Linked DNA regions of Lepisosteus oculatus. The protein of the gene in region 1 interacts with the protein of each later gene in a pairwise test. Links are inferred from orthologs where the notes say so. Each region holds a gene or a part of one and is shown on either strand. Other genes may lie near its edges. The genes, in order: gucd1 and cystathionine gamma-lyase.

What was found.
Region 2: the proteins of gucd1 (region 1) and cystathionine gamma-lyase interact in binary tests that used the Homo sapiens proteins (3 or more experiments, as listed by UniProt). The two-hybrid records come from large-scale screens. The link is inferred for Lepisosteus oculatus from reciprocal best matches to the Homo sapiens genes GUCD1 and CTH.

What each region holds. Positions count from the first base shown.
Region 1 is NC_090717.1:9,774,930-9,786,593, forward strand, and holds the start of gucd1 (protein GUCD1), read left to right. Parts: upstream 1-6,178; 5' UTR 6,179-6,459; coding exon 6,460-6,466; intron 6,467-7,762; coding exon 7,763-7,847; intron 7,848-8,173; coding exon 8,174-8,339; intron 8,340-8,949; coding exon 8,950-9,041; intron 9,042-9,675; coding exon 9,676-9,917; intron 9,918-10,396; coding exon 10,397-10,488; 3' UTR 10,489-11,664. Other genes in the region: small nuclear ribonucleoprotein Sm D3, read right to left, coding at 3,471-3,535, 4,037-4,229, 4,411-4,536.
Region 2 is NC_090704.1:30,439,861-30,452,128, reverse strand, and holds the start of cystathionine gamma-lyase, read left to right. Parts: upstream 1-6,762; 5' UTR 6,763-6,865; coding exon 6,866-7,036; intron 7,037-12,081; coding exon 12,082-12,163; intron 12,164-12,268. Other genes in the region: ankrd13c (ankyrin repeat domain-containing protein 13C), read right to left, coding at 3,473-3,854. UniProt on the Homo sapiens protein: Catalyzes the last step in the trans-sulfuration pathway from L-methionine to L-cysteine in a pyridoxal-5'-phosphate (PLP)-dependent manner, which consists on cleaving the L,L-cystathionine molecule into L-cysteine, ammonia and 2-oxobutanoate.

The DNA.
Region 1 (11,664 bases):
TATGTTCACTGACAAGTCGGCTGAATTCACTGCAAGAGAGAGATGCTGTCAATGCACTTGTAACAATTCCAATCTGTCATCAAAAACAGGCTGTTTCATAAAGTCTTGCTCCAGCACAGTGGGGGGCTGAGGTGGAAACAAGTAAAAACTGTTCATCCCTTTACACACTGCAGTGACAGGAACCCATAGGGAAACCCACACAGCATGCTAGAGATTTAGCTGAGATATTGCTTCAAAACAACTGTGACAGTCACTCAGCCATGGGACATTCAATTACCATTACACCCGTAGATCACGAGAGTTCATGCTATTATTGATTTCTTCAACCAGGCCCAAAACTGGGGTTGACACATCAGTAATTGCTACATAGCCTGGATTAAACACCTTGCAAACACCATTACAATAGCGTTTCTCAAATCCCACTTTCAAAAGCAATTGGATTTTGTCTGAGCTGTTAAGTAATTGAACTAACTACTCCCTTAACTGAGCCAGTGTATCTCTCTTTTTCAGATCTAAAGAGGATAATCTTTTTTTAAAGAGGTGTATGAAACCCCGCAAGACTGTGACCCTCGGGGAGTGTAAACGATCAATCACATTGCAGCGCTATGATACAAAGTAATACCAAACTTGAAACAAAAATCCGGGACAAGCAGTATTTGTATAGATATGCATTTACGTGAGTAAATGTCGAGACTATTTAAATTTGATTTCCTTTAAACCTATAATATTTAAGACCATACGACTTGGCAGCGCTATCTAGTCAAAATGCTTAGAAACAACTAACCACACATACTGTAATTACTGGCAGGCACGATGCACTAAACAGACGATGATCTAGTCCAAAAAAGAAACCCTTTCCCTTGACCTGATTCAGTCAAGATGCTGAGAGCCGCGTGTAGTCTTAGGACCCAGCGGACGTTGGTATAGCGGCCGTAGTACAGTGAAGTACAACCAAAACAACCGTGTGGGGTGAAGATCGCCGAGATCTTTTCATTTCTCCCTTCGCTTTCATGCGAAAATCGGCGTTACCTGTACGGACACATCCTACAACACGGGCCGGGCTTGTTAATAATGCAAAACCTACCGACTGCCCACCCCCCCCTCAAAATCAGAGGCCTCTTACCCAGCAGAATAAATAGTGTGCGAGATCGCGGCCCGAGACGTTTGCAATAGGAGTGCAATTTTTGTCAATGGTTCACATCGCCGATTCCGCTTTCTTGAACCGCAATCATCTGCTCTTACTGCGAGGACGCATTCTCAACTATGAAGTGTTCTTAAAGGCCAGAGCCCTCGTTCTGAACTAATGAATCACGGTTAATACTAGCTAATTGTGAAAATATATATTCACTTATAACGCGCACCCATGTTTCTCTCCGCCTGTGATCATAATGCCAACTAGGCTGGACACTCGGCAAGTACGAAGTGAAAAGTAAATTGAGAGACGAACGCCCGCCTTTCAAACACAATCGCACATTCTTGCGAGGGATAAGAGAGGGAGAGTTTGCATGCCCCGTTGGCTGTAGTTAACAAGACAGATGTTAAAATCACAAACAGCCAAATTCAGCGGAAGACCGCGCTCGCAAACGCATTACACCAAACCGCACGCGTTTCCTGGCGAAATTCCCAGCCGTGCATATCTCAGGGAGACGCGTTACCTTTTCATGTTCCCCGTCAGAAAATGTTGCAGATTCCGCTACTTTCCCAACACCATCGCACGATTTCCCTGCAAATAAGGCTGTCTGGCAGGGAGAGCGGACGACTGGGCGCTGATAGGTGGACTGGAAGTGGGATAGTCCAATCCCGACATAAAACAGATCAAATCCTCCTCCTTCAACTGAGGAGTGTTTTGCGGGATCAAGCTGTAAACCTACAGAACTGGTCTCAGATGGGGATTTTCCCCCACAATGAGTCTGATCAGTTTTGACCGATTACTAGTACTTCGATTTCGGAATACCATGCCGCGATATACTGTTGATAATACGGTTTTAGCAGCGGGCAAGCGAACGGTTAACGATATATGCTTTTGGTGAAATTAAATATTCAATTAACGTTTTCTGTGTCCGGCGAGAAATGGTGAATTTAAGCAAATAGGCTGCTAGCAATGGAGGTGAAGGAGAAAGCTGTATCCCTGTTTAAAAATGTCTGAATCGTGAGAACGCTGCATCATACTTAAACGCTCATATCTGACTAACTCGCAACCCATTACCTCTCAAAGTTACAGAAATATGCATTAGCGACGCATAACACCCACGTACACTGAAATTGTGGCTCTCTGACGCCCTCTCGTGGGCAGAAAGGTCCTAATCAATGTTTCTCGACGTTCATTTTTAATGTCGATTCTTTGCTGGGTGCCGATGTTTGTGTATTTTCTTAACTGTACATGCAAACAAAACCCTGCCATATTTTTTTCTAAAAAAGTTACATATATATATATAGCAGTCCAGCCGTGACAGTGTTATTCACTGTTCAAACACTTCACATAAAACCCAGGACATTTATCCCAAGATGAGACCACCCTACTTCTGATTTCTCCACAAAGTACTTTGAAACTATTTGAATCAGGCATGTTGCATGAATGGCACTGGCCTCGTCGGTAAAACTATATCAGTCTCTATATTCTAATGTATTGGATTTCTATAACATTTCACCTCAACACACTCTGCATATTTGAATGTGCACTTCACCCACTGCCAAAGAGCAGCACCCACCTGAGAGAAGTGGTAGATGTGCACCAACAGCTCCTCTACAGAGCAGATCAGGTGGGGGAGTCAGAAATGGCTTCAGCTGAATTAAGAGGGAGCTTCAGAGACACTAGAGTGGAAGATGTGTAAGCTGCCAGATTTAGATTACACAAAACTGAAACACCAGCAGATCACTGGGAACAAAGTATGAAACCTGAAGAGTAAAAAAAAAGGCACAGCTGCACTCATGTTCAACATAAGTTTTTTATTTAACGGCCAAAGATATGAATTACTATTAAAACAAAACCAGACTATGTTGTCCACTAGACATTATTTTATCAATGCATCAATTCTGGAGAAGCTCATAAGGTGAATTATGTTTTTGAAACAAGACTGAATGGAAACCCGACATTTCTTACAATACAAACTTCATTATAAGTCAGTACAAAAGTGACAGAAGTTGAAAATCATCTTTAGACCAAACCTAAAGGCTGTTATGAGGATCAATATGTTGAATTACATAAACAGCTGCCCCTTTCATGTAGATTCGACTGCAGTAAATCAAATGTTAAAGACAGTACTGACTGAATATTGATTTGTTAAAATGTGAAAGTAAAGGAGCTGCACAAACACTGGACATTATACCTATTTTTATTGAGCACCTAAAAAACTTGCCAGAAAAAAAAAATCAAAAATGATTTGCCTTTTAACAGACAACATCGTGAATGATCACCCAACCTTTTAAAAAAACTGTACAGTAAGAAAAGGCCATGAAGTGCACATTGAGGGTTATCGTCTCTTCTGGAAAATATTTCCTCTTCCCATTCCCCCGCGGCCTCTTCCTCTCGCAGCCACTTAAAAAGAAAAAAGTGGACACAATATACAGTACGTGTTAATCACCCTATAATTGCAAACAAGCTGCACTAACTGGCAATGCCGATCAACAGATTACCAACAATACTGCTGCTCTGGAATAAGTTCCATCGTTCAAGAAATGACAGGCCCCTCAGATCAGTAACTTATTAGCAGCCACGTGACCTGATACGAATGTCTTACTTCTAATGAAGGCCTTAACCCATGCACCTAAACCTAAGGAGTTTTAACCCAGGTCATTACGTAGGTGTAGAACCAAGTAACGATGCACACGTCAGCAGGTGGTGATCGAAGAGCACTTTCTAGCTGGCGTTACTTTATTTCAAGACAGTCATCAGTACGATGGACGCTAAGGAATAAATTTAATAAAAACCAATAACTTTGATATTTCTGTAGGGTTCTGCTGATCACGCTGAAGTCCTCTACAGAAACACACCACCTGGAGAACTGTCCTCTGAATTGGAGTCTGGTGAACAACATACCTTGAGCTTTGAGAATGGCAGCCTTCCCTCTTCCAGCTCCAGAGCCCTGGTTTTTGTTCTTCATACTCTTCAACATGGGGGCGTTTTTCAACATGTCCGGCAGGATTAGAAATCTTATCTTGCTGCCCCGGATATAGACCTGTTCCAACTGCGCCACACGTCCATCTCTGTATGTCACAGTGATATTAGACATCTGGAAGACAAAAAAAAGCAGCTTTAAATTCACTTGCATGTGCACAACTCTGCATGAGATTAATTCAAAGAATCCATCAAAAGCACATAATGTGTGAAATTATATGGGGTCACTGGCCTAAAAGGTTTGCTTGGTTTTGTGACCCCTGGCATTTCTCATCTCAACCACTTATCAGGCTTACCTGGCAGTTCATATTGTCCTCTGCTTCTATAAGCTTTCCTCTGTACACTTCGCCCGTGTTGGTTTCACAGGTGACGATGTGACCCTCGGCCTCATGCAGAACTTTGATAGGCACTCCGATGGACATTTTAACTGGGACCTCTAAACAAACACCATGACAGGGAGGCAAATAATTCCAGGTGAGCAATATTAGGCTAGAACACACAAAAACCATGCTTCTGGATACCTTGGAAAAAGCCAGCATCTCTACCCCATGCCCGATAAATTAGATTCTGTCCTGCAGCTCAGTTTGTACACAAGTTAAGGTTACACATCACACGTTTTTGTAAATGCCTGTTATTAGGTAACAAGATTAAAATGCATTCAGTAACGAGTATTAGATTTTGAATTTAGACAATTGTAAAGGGTTTGTATGGACCAAGCAGGCCATTAGCTGTTCACAAAGGAATCAAAACCTGGATACTGGATGCATTTACTCATAGGTACGCATGTTTAGTTCGAGTCTAAAGAGCAATCTGATTTAACCTGGTATATACTATCAGTGATCAAGATGGACCCCAGAGCAAAATTCACTAGTACTTTTAACTTTTTTGACAGTTTGTTAGCATACATTTTACAAAATAGATGTGATAATGTGCACTTCACAAGATTAAAAAAAAAATTAGGCAACTCTTTTTATAGATAATAGACCAGTGCGTTAAGCAACATTCACTAAAACAATCTTCGAAGCAGATATTCTGCACTTTCGAAACATATTCTTCAAAGCAGTAAATGAGAACAAACGGTCTCTACTTCGACACGGCCTTTGTGTTATGGCAAAGCCCAAAGAGACTTGGGTAGCTTTAGCTATGGGAAAAAAAAAACCCATCTCATTAGCAAAAAAAAGTTTTTGTTTTGCATCTGGGAGAAAATACTTCAGGAGAAGGTATATTTGTTTTCTAACGTAAAGTATTTCCACGCCATTCAAATCAAGTTCATTTCCTACCTTCAACGAACTCATAATCTTGATTCCCTTCGTTAAAAGAAAGGTAATATCTTACAACTTGTAATGAAACATAAAATTCTTACCTGTTCACAGCAAATATTGAATTCCTTCTCTTATTTAACCGTTTCCCGGTTTTAATCGTGAACGGCAGCGTGTTTAAAACCTGACCGCCTCGGAGTACGATTTTGTTCGTTTCCAATACCCCACAATGCAACGCGTTAAAGGAAGTCACAAAGTGCTTCCGGTTCGATTTGGGTTTTTCCGTCGTTATGATGAATGTTGGGATTTGTAGTTTAACCAACATAACGTCTTCTAAAATTTCTCAAGAATGAAAATAAGTATAACGGGCTTTCTTTTTACTAAATACCACACAAGGAGGAAACATGTTCTGTTGCTCCAACTTTTTTTTACTGTGCTACGAAAAACATTTGTAAAGATATACAGTAACTCTCATCAATGTATAAGTTCTTATTATTTCATTAAACCTTCTTCTTCGTCACTTGCTGGGTTTATTCCAAACCCCTTCTTTTTCTGAAAAGGAAAGAAAAACAAGTTGAAGATGCACTTGATTTTGTGACGTTTAAGAATGGCTCTAAGCAGCTACCCAACAAAACTAAAATAAAAAAAGAAATAGCCAGTTGTAAGTTGCTCCCCAATAATTTGTGATCGCCCCGAATATCTCACCATCTACTGTCACGAGTAGTACACTGGAGTACAATATATTATAAGAACAGCCTATTTATTCTAGTTCTCGTCCCTCCTTGACTGTGTTTAGAGGGCGCTGTAGGCGCAGCGGTTTTCAAATGAGCGTCTGTGGAAGTCCTCGTTTTGCAAGAGGAAATTGCGTACGGCGGAGATGCAGGCAGAGGTGCCCAGCAGATCAGCACTGTAGTGCCGGAGAGAGGCGGCCCGGACCGGGGTCGTAACTGTGGCTCCTAATGTTCATGTCCGGCGAACAGACCCAGCGCCGTGGTGCTGAGACGGTTTCCTCTCTGAAAATCGCCAGATCGTGCGCAGAAAGTGAAAAGGACTTAACAGCATTATATAAAAAACAAGCAGCACAGAATGACAGGTAAGATGGAGCGTTAGCGTAGTACTCCGTGTCGACGAACTGGATGATTTGGGATGGTCCCGCTTTGTTTTTGTTTTAAATCAGCCCTTGTTGGAAATTAACATATTCAACGATTTCGAGGCTCCAGGAAAGGTCCCGTCGTGCTGTCGAGGTGTTGCGGGCCCTGTTACCACAGGTGTTAAGTGTTTTAATGTACACGACTGTTTCTCGTCAGGCATCTGAAAATAAATTAAGAGGAGCAGTGGTGTGACTGGTTTCAGAAGTTCGCTTTGCGGCTGAGCACAGATGTCCTTCAACCTGCTATGCACTTCTTGTCCTGCGTGTAAAACAAGTTAAAACACTACACGAACCACTATCGAATTAACTGTAAATAAACCCTGGGTCGTACAGTAGCGTGGTAGGTACATTTATTCACCGGTCACGTAAATGGAGTTAACATCCGTGACTGAGCCCTCTATCCCGATTGACACAGCTCCGTACAGCGTGTTTACAGTTTAGTTCAGTGATAAGAGTAGCTCATATCCGTGTTTTTTTCTCCAGCCGTGTATTTTATCGCAGGTAGTTGATTTCAGTTCTGTTTTCGGTGCGCATTTGGAAATGTGCTTTCAGCTCTTAAAATACCAAATGGGATTCGTAATTGGTATCAAGCACGTACCGACTTCTGAGTGTCGTGCGTGTGTGCTGCCTGAGAAGTACTCACTGTACCTTCCTGCAGAAGAAAAATAAAACTGCCTATTCTGGGAATGTCTGATAAACTCTCACTCCCACCTGTGTCTGTTCATTATCAACCAGTGATTAGTTAGACGGCAATTTGAGAACAGACTGCATACAGGTTTGTGTGCTGTAGTTGTTGGAAACAGTACCCTTACAGTAGGGTATGTGTGGCATTCAAGACAAAGAAACAAGATAAATAAATTGCTAAAAAAGCATGCAGATCTGTTAAGTCAGATAGAGATATGGAGATATAGAGCTCAGTTGGAAGGAAAAAAAAAGCAGTGTTTCTCCTGTACCAGGGTTAGGAATCACTGGATTAGACAGTTTCTAATTTGAAATCATTGACGATCCCTAATTATATATGTATTACTGCATAAAAGGAAACAATTGACCATATTGCTTGTTTGGCAGTTTAGTTGCTACAGTAGGTGCATTTAACATTTCCTCCATCCAATTTCTTACCACTTTGTCCAATATAGGGTTGCATGTTTTCAGTGTTTATTTTATCGCTATGTTTTTATGTAACACACCAGAAGTGTAATATCTGAGTATATTCACGTCAAGGCCCTTTTATTTGTTTAGATGGTGTTGTTCAACTGAAAGTACCTGCCATTCGGCAGCTCTATCACTGGGACTGTGGGCTGGCTTGTTCCAGAATGGTTTTGAAGTAAGTAAGACAGTGAAAAACATTTTGTAGACTACATTCAGAATGGACTGGAACTTTAGTAGCATTTACAACATAAAATGTGGTGATGAAAATGATTATTGTTCTTAATTTATGATGATTGTTTTTTTTTATGTTGCCTAACTGGAAATCTAGCTCATCGCATAGCTAGAGTCGTGGCTCTTAGTGCGAATGTGTGGCATGCAGCTGTAGTTTTGTGAACTAACAATGCAGTTTTAAAAGCTTGCAATGGGTCAAACTGCTATTGGAACATAAGGAAGTGGTTGCAGCAGTGCTGTGTTTTATTGCCCCCTGACGTTACTGTGTAGGTACCTCCACCCAGTGAGTGAGGAGGAGTTTCAGAATGCCTGCTGGGAGCTCAAGCTGACCGAAAGTGTATGGACTATTGACCTGGCCTACCTCATGAGCCACCTGGGAGTCAGACATCAGTTCTGCACCCAGACCCTTGGGGTAGATAAGGGCTACAGAAACCAGGTACTGGCCAACTCTGCACTTTCCTGACAGTCCGACTGGTGTGAACTATAGGGCTAAAGACCTCTATAGGTTGGAATATTTCGTGCTAAGGTAACTCGGTTAGGTAGTGGATCCAGTTTACCTGTAGGCACTCTGGCCAAATAGCTCAACTGGTTCATTTACTGTGCAGTGGGCCATTAGGTGTTGTCACAAATGTTTATTGTGCTTTAATAAGAATTTAATACACTTATATAGATGTTTTCATTACAAAAGGATATCAAAGTTCTTTATATATATATAGGAGGGGACTGACGTCTCTGCTACGGAAGTGTAGCCCCCACCTGAGAGACACACTGCAGCCATTCTAAGCCAGCAGCCCCAGGTGGAGCAGGCGAGAAGTGACATTTTTTTGCCAGTTGAATTAAGAGAGTAGTTTTATACGGCCAGATTATTCATGCCCAAAGTAGTATTTTGGTAGGACAGATGGATAACCACCTCTATTCCTTTGGAAAGTTCCATGAGTTCTTTAATTTTATGGTCCTTTTCCTTGACACACCTGCGAAAAGTGAACAGTCATGTAATACTTAACCTTACATGTAAGTAATTGACTAGCTTCCCTCTGATTCCCCAGTCGTTTTACAAAAAGCATTTTGACACCGAAGAGGACAGAGTGAATGAGCTCTTTAACAAGGCAGAGAGCAATGGGGTGGTGGTGAAGAAACGGTAGGTATTTTATCATTTTGTGTCCTTTTGCTTTCCTTTTTTTACATCTGCTGTGTTCTTGCTTTCAGCAGGAAAATAGAATTTTCATTTGTCTACTTAGCATCTCCAAGACACCTGCAAATGTCAGAGAAACAATGACATTTACAACATGCACTCTTCTGTCTGCTTGTGCCACCTGCTTCCAACTTGTTTTGGTGTTTTTTCTTTTAATGGCCATTCCCTAATAGAACTTTAACCACAGTCTTATGAATAAAACTACAAGCCTGAAAATGACTTCTACGTTAAACTCTGTTAATGTTAATGTTAGACATGGTAAACGTCCGGATAGTGAGTGCTGATGTTCTTCTCACATTTCACCTTATTCTGAAGTGGGATTAAAGCAAGAAAACTGTATGTTCCCCTGGTCCTGCAGGTTCTCTGAGATTAACAAAGGCGAACGTCTGAATACAGTGGAAATTTGGACTAATTCAAGCCATAAGAGATTAGGTGAAGGTGTTAAGAGAGCATGTGGAATGAATTGTAGAAGAGCTTCCCAAGATTTAGAGTACATATGTCCGGTTTAAAGAAAATATCAATGCTTTTATTTTTTTTAGTTGATTTAGCCTGTAACAGGAGTGATTTTGATCTTCTACAGCTCTGTGACGATGCAGGACATCCAGAATCACTTGGCTCAAGGGCACGTGGCGATAGTGCTGGTGAATGCTGTGCTCCTGGTCTGTGACCTCTGCTCCACCCCTGTCAAGTATTGCTGCTTCCTTCCTGTGGGCCAGAAGTGCTTCTGCAGGAAGCCTGACTACCAGGGGCACTTTGTGGTGGTGTGTGGCTTCAACCTTGCCACCAACTCTGTCTTCTACAACAACCCAGCTTACTCAGACAGTGAGTTCCCCTTGAAGTGATTCCTTTGGGAAGATGGAAAAAGAGTGCCACAGTAAGGAACAACTGTGGGGGAAAAAAAGTTGTTCCGATGTGTCATGGTCTTCATTGAATTGCCGTTTTGAATGACAAGACCTTTGTCTTTCCTGTGTTTCTTAGAAGTAGTACAGAACTTTTATAAATCCAATCCTCTCTAAAATTTCTGAGTATGAACACATACTCTGCTTTGATGCCAGAGTGGGATACTTATGGAAGATAACATTTAAAAATTCATTTCCTGTGATCTTAAAGAAGATTTGATTTGATTAGTGGTAAGAACTGGAATATGAAATAGTTCCATTATAGCAGAGCAAAAGAAATGTCTTTCTGAAAGATCATGGTTTTGAAGGACTGCAGGAATGTATTCCATGCATTCTGAAACACAGACTGCATCCAAGGAAATTTGCTTTCAGTGACAAAAAAATTCCTTGTGTATTTTGCAGGAGTGTGTTATACCAGCGTAAGTAACTTTGAGGAGGCACGAAAAAGCTATGGGACAGACGAAGACATTCTGTTTGTCTACAAGGAGAGCTGATGTCCGGGAGACATGCCTGATTTCTGCACACGAGCACTACACCGTGACAGCTTTGCTGTTTGTTTACAGCCTAGGACATTGCACCAGAACTTAGCAGCTTTGATCTTTAAGTTTGGGCAGCATGGTATCTTTAGATGGGGCTGTTTGTTCCAATGGAAAAATGGCTGATTGCACAAAAAAACACATCACTGTGTCATTTGTCTACCTTCATAAACCACGTGTTTCAGGTGGTGTCAAAGTAAGGGAATTTCTTTTTTTGTGGACAGAATGTAGAAAATGTGACTGAACACGTCCAGTGTTATGATTTTTCCTTCTGTGCATATGGGCGAGTTCCACATATTGAGAAAAAGCAGAGTCTGGCACATTTTTTAAAATCAACGTGCAATTTAAGATGTAGGAAACCTTCTCTGTGAGGTTAATGTAAAGACGAAAATATAAAAATAGTATTGAGGTTCCAACAAAAGTGGTTCAGTGATATTCTCAACAGTATGATCGGTTATCGCAAATGATAGTGGTCAGAAAGCTTGATCCCTTTATATTGTGTTTTCTGTACCATTTTGAAATATCCCCAGGTTTTCTCTAGAGTGGAAACGAGAAATGTGCTCATTTGGAGCTTTCCTCACCTCTTGAGATGAAAAAGCCAATCCTGTATTTGTATATTATTGGTCGGCAAGCTTGAAAATTTAACAACAGTTTGTCTGCACCTTACTTATGATGCAATGGTGACGGATGTCCAAGACCTAAGCAGAACAAGCTGGAGGTGTTTGCAGGTGTCGATAACTTTTTTGACACCTGAAAGATTCTGTCAGTTTTTTGTAATGTTCCTTCATGGGCCTCTGTATCCAAATTAGAGGTACTATATGTTATCATTATAGCTAGGGTTAACTGCATTTCTGATATGTTTTCATCTTTTTGATGATGTGTTTTGACACATTAGGCCTGGTTGATATAATTCCTGATTCTTGAGCAGGCGTTATTTCAGAGGAGGTGGGTAATTTTAAAAGCGTACCGATTTAATACATTTGAGATACAGACTCTCAAAGCTTTACCAGACCTCAGTTTAGGTATAAGAAGGGCTTATCCTGCAGTTGTGGGAGTACTATACTTGACTGTTTTTATGGGGAAAAAGGGTTAATGTTTATGTATATGCTGCTTCAGTTAATTATTTAATTTGGT
Region 2 (12,268 bases), on another chromosome or scaffold:
TTTGCTTGGAACCGACACAAAAATGTTTTGCGGTCTGTGATTCGGGGCACTTTAAATAAAGGGCTTTATAGTACAGTGACAAGAATGACAAGCTTGTCTTTTTGGAAGGAATTCTGTGTGTAGGCTGATCAGGGAGTCCAAAAGGATCCTCCTATGTGGTCTGATTGTTTTTCTCTAGTTATGTTGTCACATCTGTCTGCTGCCACATCCGATAAGTGCAGTACAGAGTTTTGCACGTGCCTACAAGAAGGAATAAACCTTCCTGGTTTTGTGCTTCCTTATTAATTTGCCTGCCGCTGAAAAACATTTATTTTTCGTTCTCCATTTCCTCTAGTGTTGTGTTCAACTTTTTTTTTTTATTTCATGTGATCGTTCCTGGTCCTGTTATGTTCTGGCTGTAACCTTAGATCTTGAAGCCCTCCCGTATGCCATAACTGGTGGAATCAGTCAGGATATATGGTATAGATAGTTGACGTGTCAATACTCCTGGCTCTCTTTATTTCTTACTAAGTTTTAATGAAGTCTTAGATTTCATAGCTTCCTTCAGAGCTCATTCAAGCCTCTTCTCTTTTCCCCCTCACTGAAGTCTGCTCTTAGCTTTACCCCTCCAACTGAAACCCTCTTCTGTCGAAAGCAGGATTAAACTGGAATTCTGATACTTCAGACCTGTTATTTAAAGAAGCCTGGTGCTCAGATGATGCTTTATGTGAAGTAACATGCAGAGGACTGGTCTTGAACCTGCAACACTTTAACCTGTAGCACAATGTGGATTGTTCATGCAAGTCAAGATGTTGTGTTGGGGATGCGGTTTCTTCATTTTCCTTTATTTTTCTTCTTTAAGGAGTTGGGGCAGATATGTTTTTTCATTTCCATATTTTGTTTTTATTTTTTTCCCTTTGGTTTTCTCTATTGTCTTACCAATGAACAGTAAACAGAAATCCATTTCTTTCATTTGATAGCCCAAGATGTCACGTCTGGATCATTATTAATATTCCCCACCCTCTTTCATCAATAGTCCCTATTCTTCCTCCCCTTTTAAAATTGCTTTGACTTAATCCACAACATACATACATATTTTCTCACCTAAAAGGGATAATGTAGAGCCCTTTATTGAATTGTCTTCATATGAATAGATGCATGAATGATACCATCAGGAACAAATACAGAAATGTGCTGTGTATCTTGCAAGGTTTTTCATATAAAAAAATCAAAACAAATTAATTCACTAAAGCATATCTACTGTATTGCACCCCATAAAATAAATACTAGTAATCAACATCAGGCATATACTTAATAGGAAGCTTTGTAGATAGCAGCTTCATTAGTATACATGTGTCAAGATATTCAAGTAGGTAACTGCGTGCCTGACCCCTGAAGTAGGCTCCAGAGCCAAAACCTTTTCTTTCTTTACTTCTCTTTACTGCATGGAATAAACCTTCACTTGTTCCTATGTGTCAGGATATGTGTATTTACAGAGCTGTTAGTTTACAAAAAAAACTCCTTTTATATTTTCCCAAAGCACCATCCACAAACCAGCTACTTGTTTTGTGGAAGTTCCACCAAGAAGAAATCATTATTTTTCCATCTTAAATCATGCTTTAATTCTGATCGAAAAAGATGAACTGAGATGATGAGAGGCACTGCGCCTCTGCCGAGATGGATACTGGCAGTAAACGTGTAACACTGATCAGCAGCTCTTCATTATTCCTGCCAATGATCAGACCGTGTTGAATAACGGAACAGTTTTACCGATTTGTTCACAAGCACCATTTCTAGTTAGATTAAGTGAACAGATGATCAGTATTACACATTTTCGCACAGGCATTGAGAACAGATCCTCTCAACAGTGAGATGTGTGATGGTGAATTTATAATTAACACCTTTCCTGTCAAAATCCTGGTGCACATGCGGTTTCTGAGGACAGCAGCTCTGGACTCCAAACCACAGGACTTCTATGGCAGGTTGGATGCTATTTTCGTACACTTCACTAAGGTACTGTACTTCATCCACGGGGATGCAATGCTCTGAAATATAAACTGGTACACACTAGGCCATCATTTGCAAATGAGAACTTGTTTTCGATTCACACTACTGGTTAAGTAAGAGATTCAAATAAGAGTAATGACAAATGTCAGAGTCATTGTAGATAATGGTTGGGTTGCATGCAGGAAGAGATTTTCAGATGGAGAGGTTAATCCTAAACAACAAGGACAAAAACAGGACAAGGAGAAAAAAAAAATAAGCTTCTTTTAATGCCACGCTGTAAAAACTAAAGACTGCTTGTTCTTGATCAATCCATGTTCTGATCCAAGCAATTCTGTTTCTTCTTGCGGCATGTAAACCAAAAGCACTTGGGACTGTAGTATCACTGCAACGCACATCTTTTTCAGGACGAAATATTCCCAGATATCAAGCTTGTTAAACAATCATTTAATGATTTGCACTTTTCTACAAGACAAAGGTGTCTGCAGGCCGCTCGCGTGATTGTGAAAATAACATTTTAGAGCAATTCAATATGAGGAGGTTTTAGTGAAGAGTACTGGCAGGCATATCCACAAGTCAAAAAGAGACCGCTTGTTAAACACTCTTCTTATTTGCCCACATACCCAGGCTCAGAGAAAAGATCATTATGAAGCCAGGAGAGTCGTCTACCAACGTGCTTTCTAAAAAAAGGGGGCAGAAGACGTATTTCACAAGATGGCCATGCTTCTCCACGTAAAGAACGTTTACAAGACAGGAAAACCACCGTCAAAGCCTGAATTTGAGATTTGTACGCTTTTTATTGCATGTTTTAACAGCCCCTCGCCAACGCAGCATAACCACATTCACGTGGAAACAAACCGAAAGCAGAAAATCTTTTTCAAATACAGCTGAAGGCACACTGAACAGGAAACATTTTTCACATAAAACTGGATTTATTTGTACTGTGGACACCGCAATTGAAAAAAAGAGTCTGTACTCTGGAGGGTATATTTAACACAACTTCAGTCTACTAAAAGTGAAACGACTGAAAAACAGTAAAGGCAACCCGGGTACAACACATAAACAGCTGCATACAGAACTGTAACTTATATAGGAATAGACCAAATCCCTCTATATGCCTACAGAAGGCAGGTTTCAGTTGTCCCACCAGAGACACGCGTTTTTTGCAATGCAGCCTGTCAACTTCAGTGGCTGTGAATCATCTGGGATGTGGAAAGCAAATCTCGGTGATGCTCCACAAGCCACAAATCTTTTACAGCGGGGGAGGGGGGTACCTGGCTGGTCTCCAAGTAACACTGCTGTCCCAAACACAAATGTCATCGCAGCGGTGCATGTCTGCGCTGTAGAAGTCGCAATTACAACGTCAGGCAAACCCCGCGTCTAAATACGCCACGGACACGTAGCTCAATATCGAGCACACAGCCGGACATAAAAAGTTCTCGTACATTTCAGCCTGACTTGAGAAGGCGACCCGAGTGGGTTCGCTTACCGTGAACATCCTTCTGAGCGATGTTCTGGGTCCTGATCAGGGACGACAGCCGACGCACGTCCCCCTTGAACACGCACTCGTGGACGGGGAAACCCTCCGTCGTCCGGGTTATGGGGTTCTTGTTGTTGTCATCGATAGTCCCCGTCGCCGTGTTAGTGTTCGCGTTTGCATTGATCTGAGATTGCTGATGCAGCTGCTGTGGCCCCGGCGCTTTGATCAGCTTGTGATTGCTAAAAATCTTATTGGCTTTGCCTCTGTTACTAGTCCGGGTAGTGGAGGAGGTGAACGTCCCGGCGGCGGCTTCCTCGTCGGGCTCCAGTAAATCCTCCTCTTTGCTTGGCTTGTGGTCCTTGCGCAGGGATCGTATCTTTTCGCCGGTCATTTTTCTTTAAATCTCAGAAAAACTCGCAGAGGGGGATGCTGATGCCAGGGATGGAGGGATAGGCGGAAAGTGTCGCTGGCGGTGGCGAGGATGCCAGCGGTAGATAGGCTGGGGAATGCCGAGACAAAAGCAGCAGTCCGCACAACATGAAAACACTAAATCCCCAAACTGTAACATACGGTAACGAAAACTGACAAGCCGCGCATACACACAGAAAACCGAGGATCCCCTAACCGCTCCACTCCGCTCCCTCAAACTATAACGTCCCTATGCTGGCTACTCCTGCAGGGTATATCCTCCGACTCCAGAGAAGACCCAACAGCCATCTTCCGCCTCTAATCTCGCGAGAGTGTCCAAGTGGGTTTCCAAGGCTCAAGCAGGATGTTAGATGATATCGCGATGTGTGGTTGTTTTTTCAACCTGTATGGAGTTACTGCAGTTAGGGTTTGAAAATAATTATTCGCTGTTTTGGATGCAGGAGATGTTTTTGGTAAAATAAACCTGTAGCAAACTGCGGTTGGTATGACAGATGGCAGAAAATATCTTCATTAAAAGCGAATCCCAATTTTGTTGTCTTAACGGAAAGTAATATATTTATGAAGTGATGTACATGCGTAATTCAGATAAGGGGAACATTTTGGTGTTTTTCCATTAAATAAGGTTTCTGTATCCTTACGATGATAATCTGACTTTATCTGTATATCTTTTTTTTGTTTTAGGTCTCGTATTTGTGCTGGGCGACTCAGTTTTTATAAGCAGATAACCTTTAAACCAACATAGTTATAACATCCATCCATTTTCTATGCGATTTATCCAATTGAGTCGCCGGAGACCATCCCGGCAAGCAACGGGCGCAAGGCAGTGAGTGTACACTCTGGACGGGACGGCAGTCCATCACATTGCACACAGACAGACATGCTGACACATCAGGACGAATTTCCCCAGATTACTACCACGTTATAGCAGTGTGGGAGGAAACCCACGTAAACATGAAGAGACCGTGCAAACTCCACACGTATAACATCCATGGTCTGAAATCGAACCCGGGGCCCTAGCGCAGCGAGGCAGCAATGCTAACTACTGCACCACCCTCATCTTACAAAAATAATGTAAAAAATATAACGACAACATATCTTCGAGCTTTATACATTTCTAAATATCGTAAAGAATTTGAGTGGCACGGCGGCACACTGGTTACAGCATATGTACTTACACAGTTTCGCTGACTACACAATGTATTGTATTGGATAAGCCGTGGATACTTTTAATGACCTTTTGCTGCCTTTTATTTATTATAACTCGTTAGAATTAATTTTTCCAATATAAGGAACATTTTTTAGTTTAGCCGAAGAGCTCAAATTCCAAATGATTTGCATACTACCTTTGTCATACGGATGTTACTCACCAGCGAACACACCTATAGTTACTGATGAAAAAAAAACATTAAAAAGTCAGGAGGATAATCTTGCAGTCTCTGGCAATACAATCATGGCATTCATGTTAAGAATAAGTCTATATCGTGCCAATTGCTATTTTCTGTCTCTTTCATCCCGTGAACTGCATTGAATTACAATGAGGGTTGCAAAAGTCTCATTCTATCACAAATACAGATTCAGATCTACGTTGCTGTTGAGGACAAGGCTATTTGCTTAATACCACCTATTCTGAGGTCATTGTGATGTGTTCCTCCAAGGTGTCAGTCTAGTTGTGATTGATTTATATGATTTAGAATAAACTGCAGAAATCCGATATAAGACAGCAAAAGAACGACGACAGTCCATAGCAGTTCAAGACTGTTGTGGTTACAGCCGTGCGCAGTTATTGTGCCATTTCTATTAATTTGTAAGACAATGTGCCCACTTGGTCTCTCATATTTGCGGAATCGTTGCGGTTACGCATTTTTTTAGAACTCATGAAGTAACAGTAACGAGAACCTTTCCTGAACTTCATCTAAATCTCGTCCCAGCCAAGTGGCACCCCCTATTGGTCAAAATGAAAAAACGCAGCCTCCAAACACTCAGTTTTAGTTACCCAGGCTCTTTGTCGTATCGATTTCGTGCAAAAAATAATCTCATTTGATCAATTCGAGTATAAAAAATGCAACTATTCAGAGACATTTTGTCTTCAAAAATACGTTTTTAATTTAGAGGACACGAGAACACAACTTTCTCCGTGTTATTTCACTATATTAAAACGTTTGGTAAGTGAGGCCATCCAAAACAATCTGAATTATGAAATTTGTATTAATCCCTTCTAAAAATCAATTATGTTCAGTGTTATTGTCATACAATTTGAGCGCCAACGTCATAATCCGTCAGAGATAATTTGTGTAGGTCTTTGATGAATTTGGCCGCGGTCCAAATAGTTGAAATCCGTATGCTGAGCATATTCAAGACTGAATAAATCAGAGGGCACAAATGGAAACTGGTTGGGAGAGCATTTAAAACCGAGAACAGGAGGCACTTCGTTACACAAAGGGCCGTGGGAGTGTGGAGCAAGCTGCTTTCAATAAACGGTTGGATGAGATCCTCGGATCAATTATTAACTATCAAAAGCGCTGGATGGGACAATGGCCTCTCGTTTGTAACCCTGCTTATTTTGTACTTATTTGCATGCCCGTTTGGGCGCTGCTGATTCTCAGTGAGAGCTTAATTTATTTAACTCTTTCTTGCATAAGGAAGGGGAAACCTGCTTTCCCATCTCAAAACCATTCACACAGAAAAAAAAACTTTTTTTTATTCATGTAACTAAAACAACGACATGTTGCATCATGACGACACGACTACAGAAACAATTACTTTCGTAAAGCAGTCACATGTCTGACAACGCCTCCTGTTGACAAGCCAATAGAGCTCGACTTCTCCCTCTCTGCACTCTCCGTTGATTGGTTAAAAAACCGGACGTTTCGTATTTCATGTTACCCTCTCTCTTGTCATTCTCTTGTCAAGGGCCCGCACGCTGGTGTAGCTCTCAGGACATTGTGACACGTTGCTACTGCATTAGATCTAGTCATGGACTCGCGCACACGGCACGACTCTTCTGGGTTTCTGGAGGCCTTTAAATCCTTTGCAACACAGGCAATCCATGTTGGGCAAGAGCCAGAGCAGTGGACGTCCATGGCTGTAGTGCCGCCCATCTCACTCTCAACCACGTTTAAACAGCATGGACCTGGTCAACATGCAGTAAGTTGCAGAATTAATATTATACATTGAACTGTAATGCATTTCAAAGAAGAGAAAAGAAAAAGAGATTTTGCCCGTATATGGGCCTCCCTTCAACTTAAAAAATAATTTGCTGAAATGGTGTTCTTGATCGTCGTTATAATGCACGACCCATTTGACTTCGTATTTCTATTTCATAGTCCTTTCATAGTTTTGTGGACCGTGTTTTTTCGTTAGGCGATCGGACTAGTCGAACAAAAGGAGATCTTTGGGAATCCTAATAAGCTTTATGATATGTAGAGTCTTCAAAGGCGTACCGTGCTGTTAGGGCAAGCGCTTAACTTAAAATCTAGTGCCTTACCTTTTTTATATTAAGACCTCAAACTATCATGTAATAGCTGTAACTGCTAATCTTTTTAAAACCTGGGTAGTGATATTTAAAAGTATTCCATTTGGTATTCAGCAGATAGTGATGACAGTGCTTTTCACTGCCCACAGTGACAGGTGGTCAATGACTAGACACAGAGCAATGTTACTCTGCAATGTAGTTGTTGAAGCCTGGATGTAAATGAATTCATGTTAATGAATAACTCCTTGACCAGGAAAAGTAAAAAATGTAAATGTTTTAGTGACCAATGGTTGTCCATTTCTTTATCCCCAGACTCTTCCATATAATATATAAAATATGATATTCTGATGAACATGAAGCTAGTAGTTTTAGTGGCCTCTCAGGGGGTTTCAAGCAAATTTAGGTTAGCAGTTCTCCTTAGTTCTAGACACAGTGTATCTAGTGTATCCAGTGTTTCTAGGCACAGTGAATCAGACAAATTCAGGAACCCAGTGCACAGAAGGTGCTTGAGTATGAACCGATGTCACCCTAGCAGTCCTCCAACAATGAGCTAACAATGAGCAATGAGAATTATGTATTTAAATAAGCACTGTGTACCAATCCTATACATGTAGACATCCATTCAACCTGACTGGCCCCAGTGACAATATGTCATTAATCTTCTAGCCTAGTGTCATGATCAATGTGATATCATAAGGGCTAGGGAATGAATATGGGAGCCACTGTGCTGGCTTGGAGAGTTGGATAATAATAATTCCTTACACTTATATAGTGCTTTTCTGGACACTTCACTTGAAGCACTTTACAGGTAGTGAGTGGGGACTACCCTCCACCACTACCAATTATGCAATAAAGTGCGCCAGTTCACTCATCACACATCACCTATCAGTGAAGAGAAGAACAGACAATGATTGGTAAAGGGAGACCAGGACACCGGGATTATCAACCCTACTCTTTTATGAGAAATGCCCTGGTTTTTTTTTAATGATCACGGTAGTCAGGATTTCCATTTTATGTCTCATTTGAAAAACAGTGCCTATACAGGGCATTAGGACCCACACAGACCACTGGTGAGCGCCCCCTATTGGCCCCTCTTCTAGCAGCAACCTTAGCTTTCCCAGGAGGTCTCCCATCCAGGTACTGGCCATGCTCACTCCTGCTGAGCTTCAGGAGGTTGCCAGTTGTGAGTTGCAGGGTTATAGAGCTGCTGGGTGTATTACTGTCTAGGGTGAACTATGTCGTGGTGCTTGTCCCTACTTGAACCTGTTGCAGTTTTAGGTCTCTTGATTTACCGGTTTGTACACTTTGTGCTGTTCTTGACAGTTTGGAGCATGTGTTTGCTGGAGAATCCTCTGAACTCACGGACACATTCAAAGCACGGCAGTGGTGTCAGATAGTGGGAGGATGTTGCAATAACTGGCAAGAGTCCCTACATGGCCACACCTGAGAAAGAACCTACAGCAGCTCCAGGAAAACAAATCTCACCACCCTTTTCAAGAGCACTCCTCAGGCCATCCATCCACATAACACCACCCCATGATAGACTGCATGGGTTTCAGACCTGCAGACCTTCCTGGATCTGTGCAGAGACCCAAGCCCTTTTTGTGAAAGAGTCGGACCAGCAGTTGTACAACATGCCTGTGCACTACCACCACAGACTACCAGAAAGAAAGCAGCTTGAAAGAGGAATGACACCACCTGGACCACAGGCTCCTAATTCTGGTCATGGAGACTCATGCTCCTGCTCGTTTTCTTCCAGCTGAGCTCTCAATTGCACAATTGAACCCGTGATTGATGTAATAATAGGATTAATTTGAATTGTTTTCAGCTTTGAAATATGTGGGAGGTTGCCTTTTAACTATTGCATTTCATAAGTAAATTTATGCAAGCTTTTGCATTGCATTTTGCATTGAAAAAGAAAACTTGCAAACGTTCCAATCAACCAATTTGTCAATAAAGGTTTCCATTAGGTTATTAAACACTGCTGGAATTAAAACTAGCAGATGATTAGACCAAGACCAGGACCCCTGATTTAGTTTACATCAGGAAGCTTCAACAGAGCCTTTCGGTTTGGATCCAACTGTAGGGAGAGAAAAGAGGAATGAAGCAGTCTTGACAAATGAAATCTGATTGACTTAGAAAACCAGGGAGGACAGTTAAAGCACCAGAAATCAAACATGCCCTGCCAAAACAAAGAGGCCAGCCCTTCTGGGGGTGTTGAAAAAGAGGGCACACCCAGTGTCAATGCAAGTGGCAGAAGACGATGTCAGAGAGCAAGGATAGCTTGAGCAAGTCAGAGCAAAAATGGGACCAATCTGCTCATCTCTTATACTACTGGGGGCAAGTGGCTGCTCACCCTTGTTAACCCTGGCTCTGCAATCTCCGTCTTCCTCCCAGTGAATCGGCCAGTGAGCCCGTGGAAAGACACAGGTCAGGGGTTAAGCTCCGATGGATGACTCGGCTGCTGATGATTGGGCAAGGGGGGAAGAGAATCGTCTGGTTCGAGTTCTGGGTAGGCAGTGTACACGATCCGTGCAGCCGTGTATTGTCCGCCTGGAGCTCCTGAAGCACCCAGCCTGGCCTGAGGGAAACCAACCTGTTCATATTGTCTGAGAGGGACAAGAAGATTGCATTCAGCAGAGGGAGGTTGTAGAGACCAGCCAGGCCAATAGTTATGGGACTCAGGTGAGCACTGGCCAGGGACTATTGTGAGCTCCTACAAAAAGTGGCTGAACAAAGAATTTGATCCACTTAGTTACTAAATTACCAAATGAGCAAGATGGTCAAAAGCTGAATGTGAGAGGAAGCCATTCTTTTTGGGGTTTTAAATCCCATTCCCTTTCTCTGTGATAGACTCAAATGGCTCCTTTAATCTTTTCATGCATGATTTGCCTTTAAACCTGGGAACCACTCACCCATTTGAACTCTTTCCATGACAGCAATATCTCTTTTGTAACAATGTTAACGACTGCCCGCAGTATTCTAAATAAGGTCATATGAATAGATTGTGTAACATCCCTTACTTGCAGCTTAATATTTTACTATGTATGTGATCATTCTGTTAGTGTTTTTATTTTAACCTAAAAATTGTCTAGATGAGGAAAAGAATAAATCAAGAAACTCAGTGGTTCAAGGAGAACTGCATTGAGAGACATGCACAGCCTTCTTGGGGGCCCTAGAAATCTCATCATAAAACCAGCTGTGGACTCGGCAATGCAGAGAAGTTTGTTACAACACAGATTTTCTTCACATGTGGAAACTGTACTTCTTGTTTGCACTATACTTCTTAATTGTTCATTACTATAAAGCTCTAGCATGTTTAGATTTAGGATTGCTTCAGGGTCATAACATGTTATAAATGATTTTATTTGATGTGGTTTCAAGCTCTTGCATAATGTAAACCTTGAAGTTATAACACGTAAAAAAAAAAATGTTTTTGGCCCATTATTTTAAAAGGGAAAGGATTTCACTCTAAAATGCCACCATTTAGTAAACATTATGCTACTTGATTTAATTTTCAAAATGTTTCAATATCTTGAAAGATGAAAGCATAAAGTAAAATTAACACAAGGATCACAATCAGTCATTTTAAATATATTCCTGCTGCATGCATACAGTTTCAATAAAAGGTAGTTCATATTAAAAAATCGGAAGAATACAATGTCGGGTTAGTTCAAAATTGAACACACCTGTTTGAATTCTGTATAGTTTTCAGACTGTGAGTAAAATTAAGTCTGTGCACGGGGGTTAACACCCTTTCAAGTACTGTAGCTCACTGGGATTTTTAATAACCTAGTCATAGGGATCTCGGTTTTGTAACGAACAGTTTTTTCCGGACCCTATGCAGACAACACAATCCGAAGTAGTGAGGAAACACTGGGGAAAAAGGTCATGCAGGAATACGGGGATGAAAACAGGGGGGCGTGTCCAAAGTGCGCTGGTGCACGGGGGAGGTGTGCCCAAGGCAAACAATCCAAAGGTAATCCAGACGGGGAATCCAAAAAGACAAGCATACAGTAAGTCCATGGCCAGGCGATCCATCCAGGAGATTAAAACCAGGAACCGGGTCGGAACCGGCAGAGGGAACAGGGACAGGGACAGGGACTTAAAAACATGACAGAGCCAGACTCATCCGGACCTGGGCTCGCACGATGTGGAAATCGGATGCAGAGCCCGGAACTGACTGAGTATCTGGCTTTTAAGGGGGATGGGGAGGAGGCTGGAACAAGGGGCAGGTGCACAGAATTAAGTCGAAAGTGAAAAGAGCCGGAGTGCCCTTGAGGAGGAGGGACTACAGTCGTGACAGGTTTATCATCTTGTCTGAGGCACTTCCTACAGTAGAGCTCCCAGTCACCATAGTAGGGCATAGCTTTGAAATACAGTACGGATCTCTCTCATCAGTAAAACTTCACATTATCGCTTTGCACCACTTTTACCTAATTTGCATGGTAAATGAACTGTTTCTAACCCTATTTGACCCTATTTGAATAAAAATGTGCTTTCAAAAGTGTACTTAGCCAGAAAACTAACCAGAAAATCCAAACTCAGCTTTCTTTAAAATTAACTGTAATTAACATTTATCAAAATAAAAAAGTTTCCTTTTTTGGTAGCACCTACAACAAATGTTTTTTTCTTTCTCAGCCTGCTCTTTAAATATTTTGGTAGCTGAGAAGCAGGACACATTGCAATTCCTTACATTTCTTTAATTCTTTTAAAGGGCTTTGAGTACAGCCGTAGTGGAAACCCAACTCGGAACTGCCTTGAGAAAGCTGTTGCAGTTCTGGACGGAGCGAAATACTGTAAGTCAGCCTACAGTATCTTTCTTCTTCGTGGGTTTTCAAAGAACAATCTGTGAGCTGTCTGTAACAACTGTATCATGTTAATATTGCAGAAAGTGGATTTTA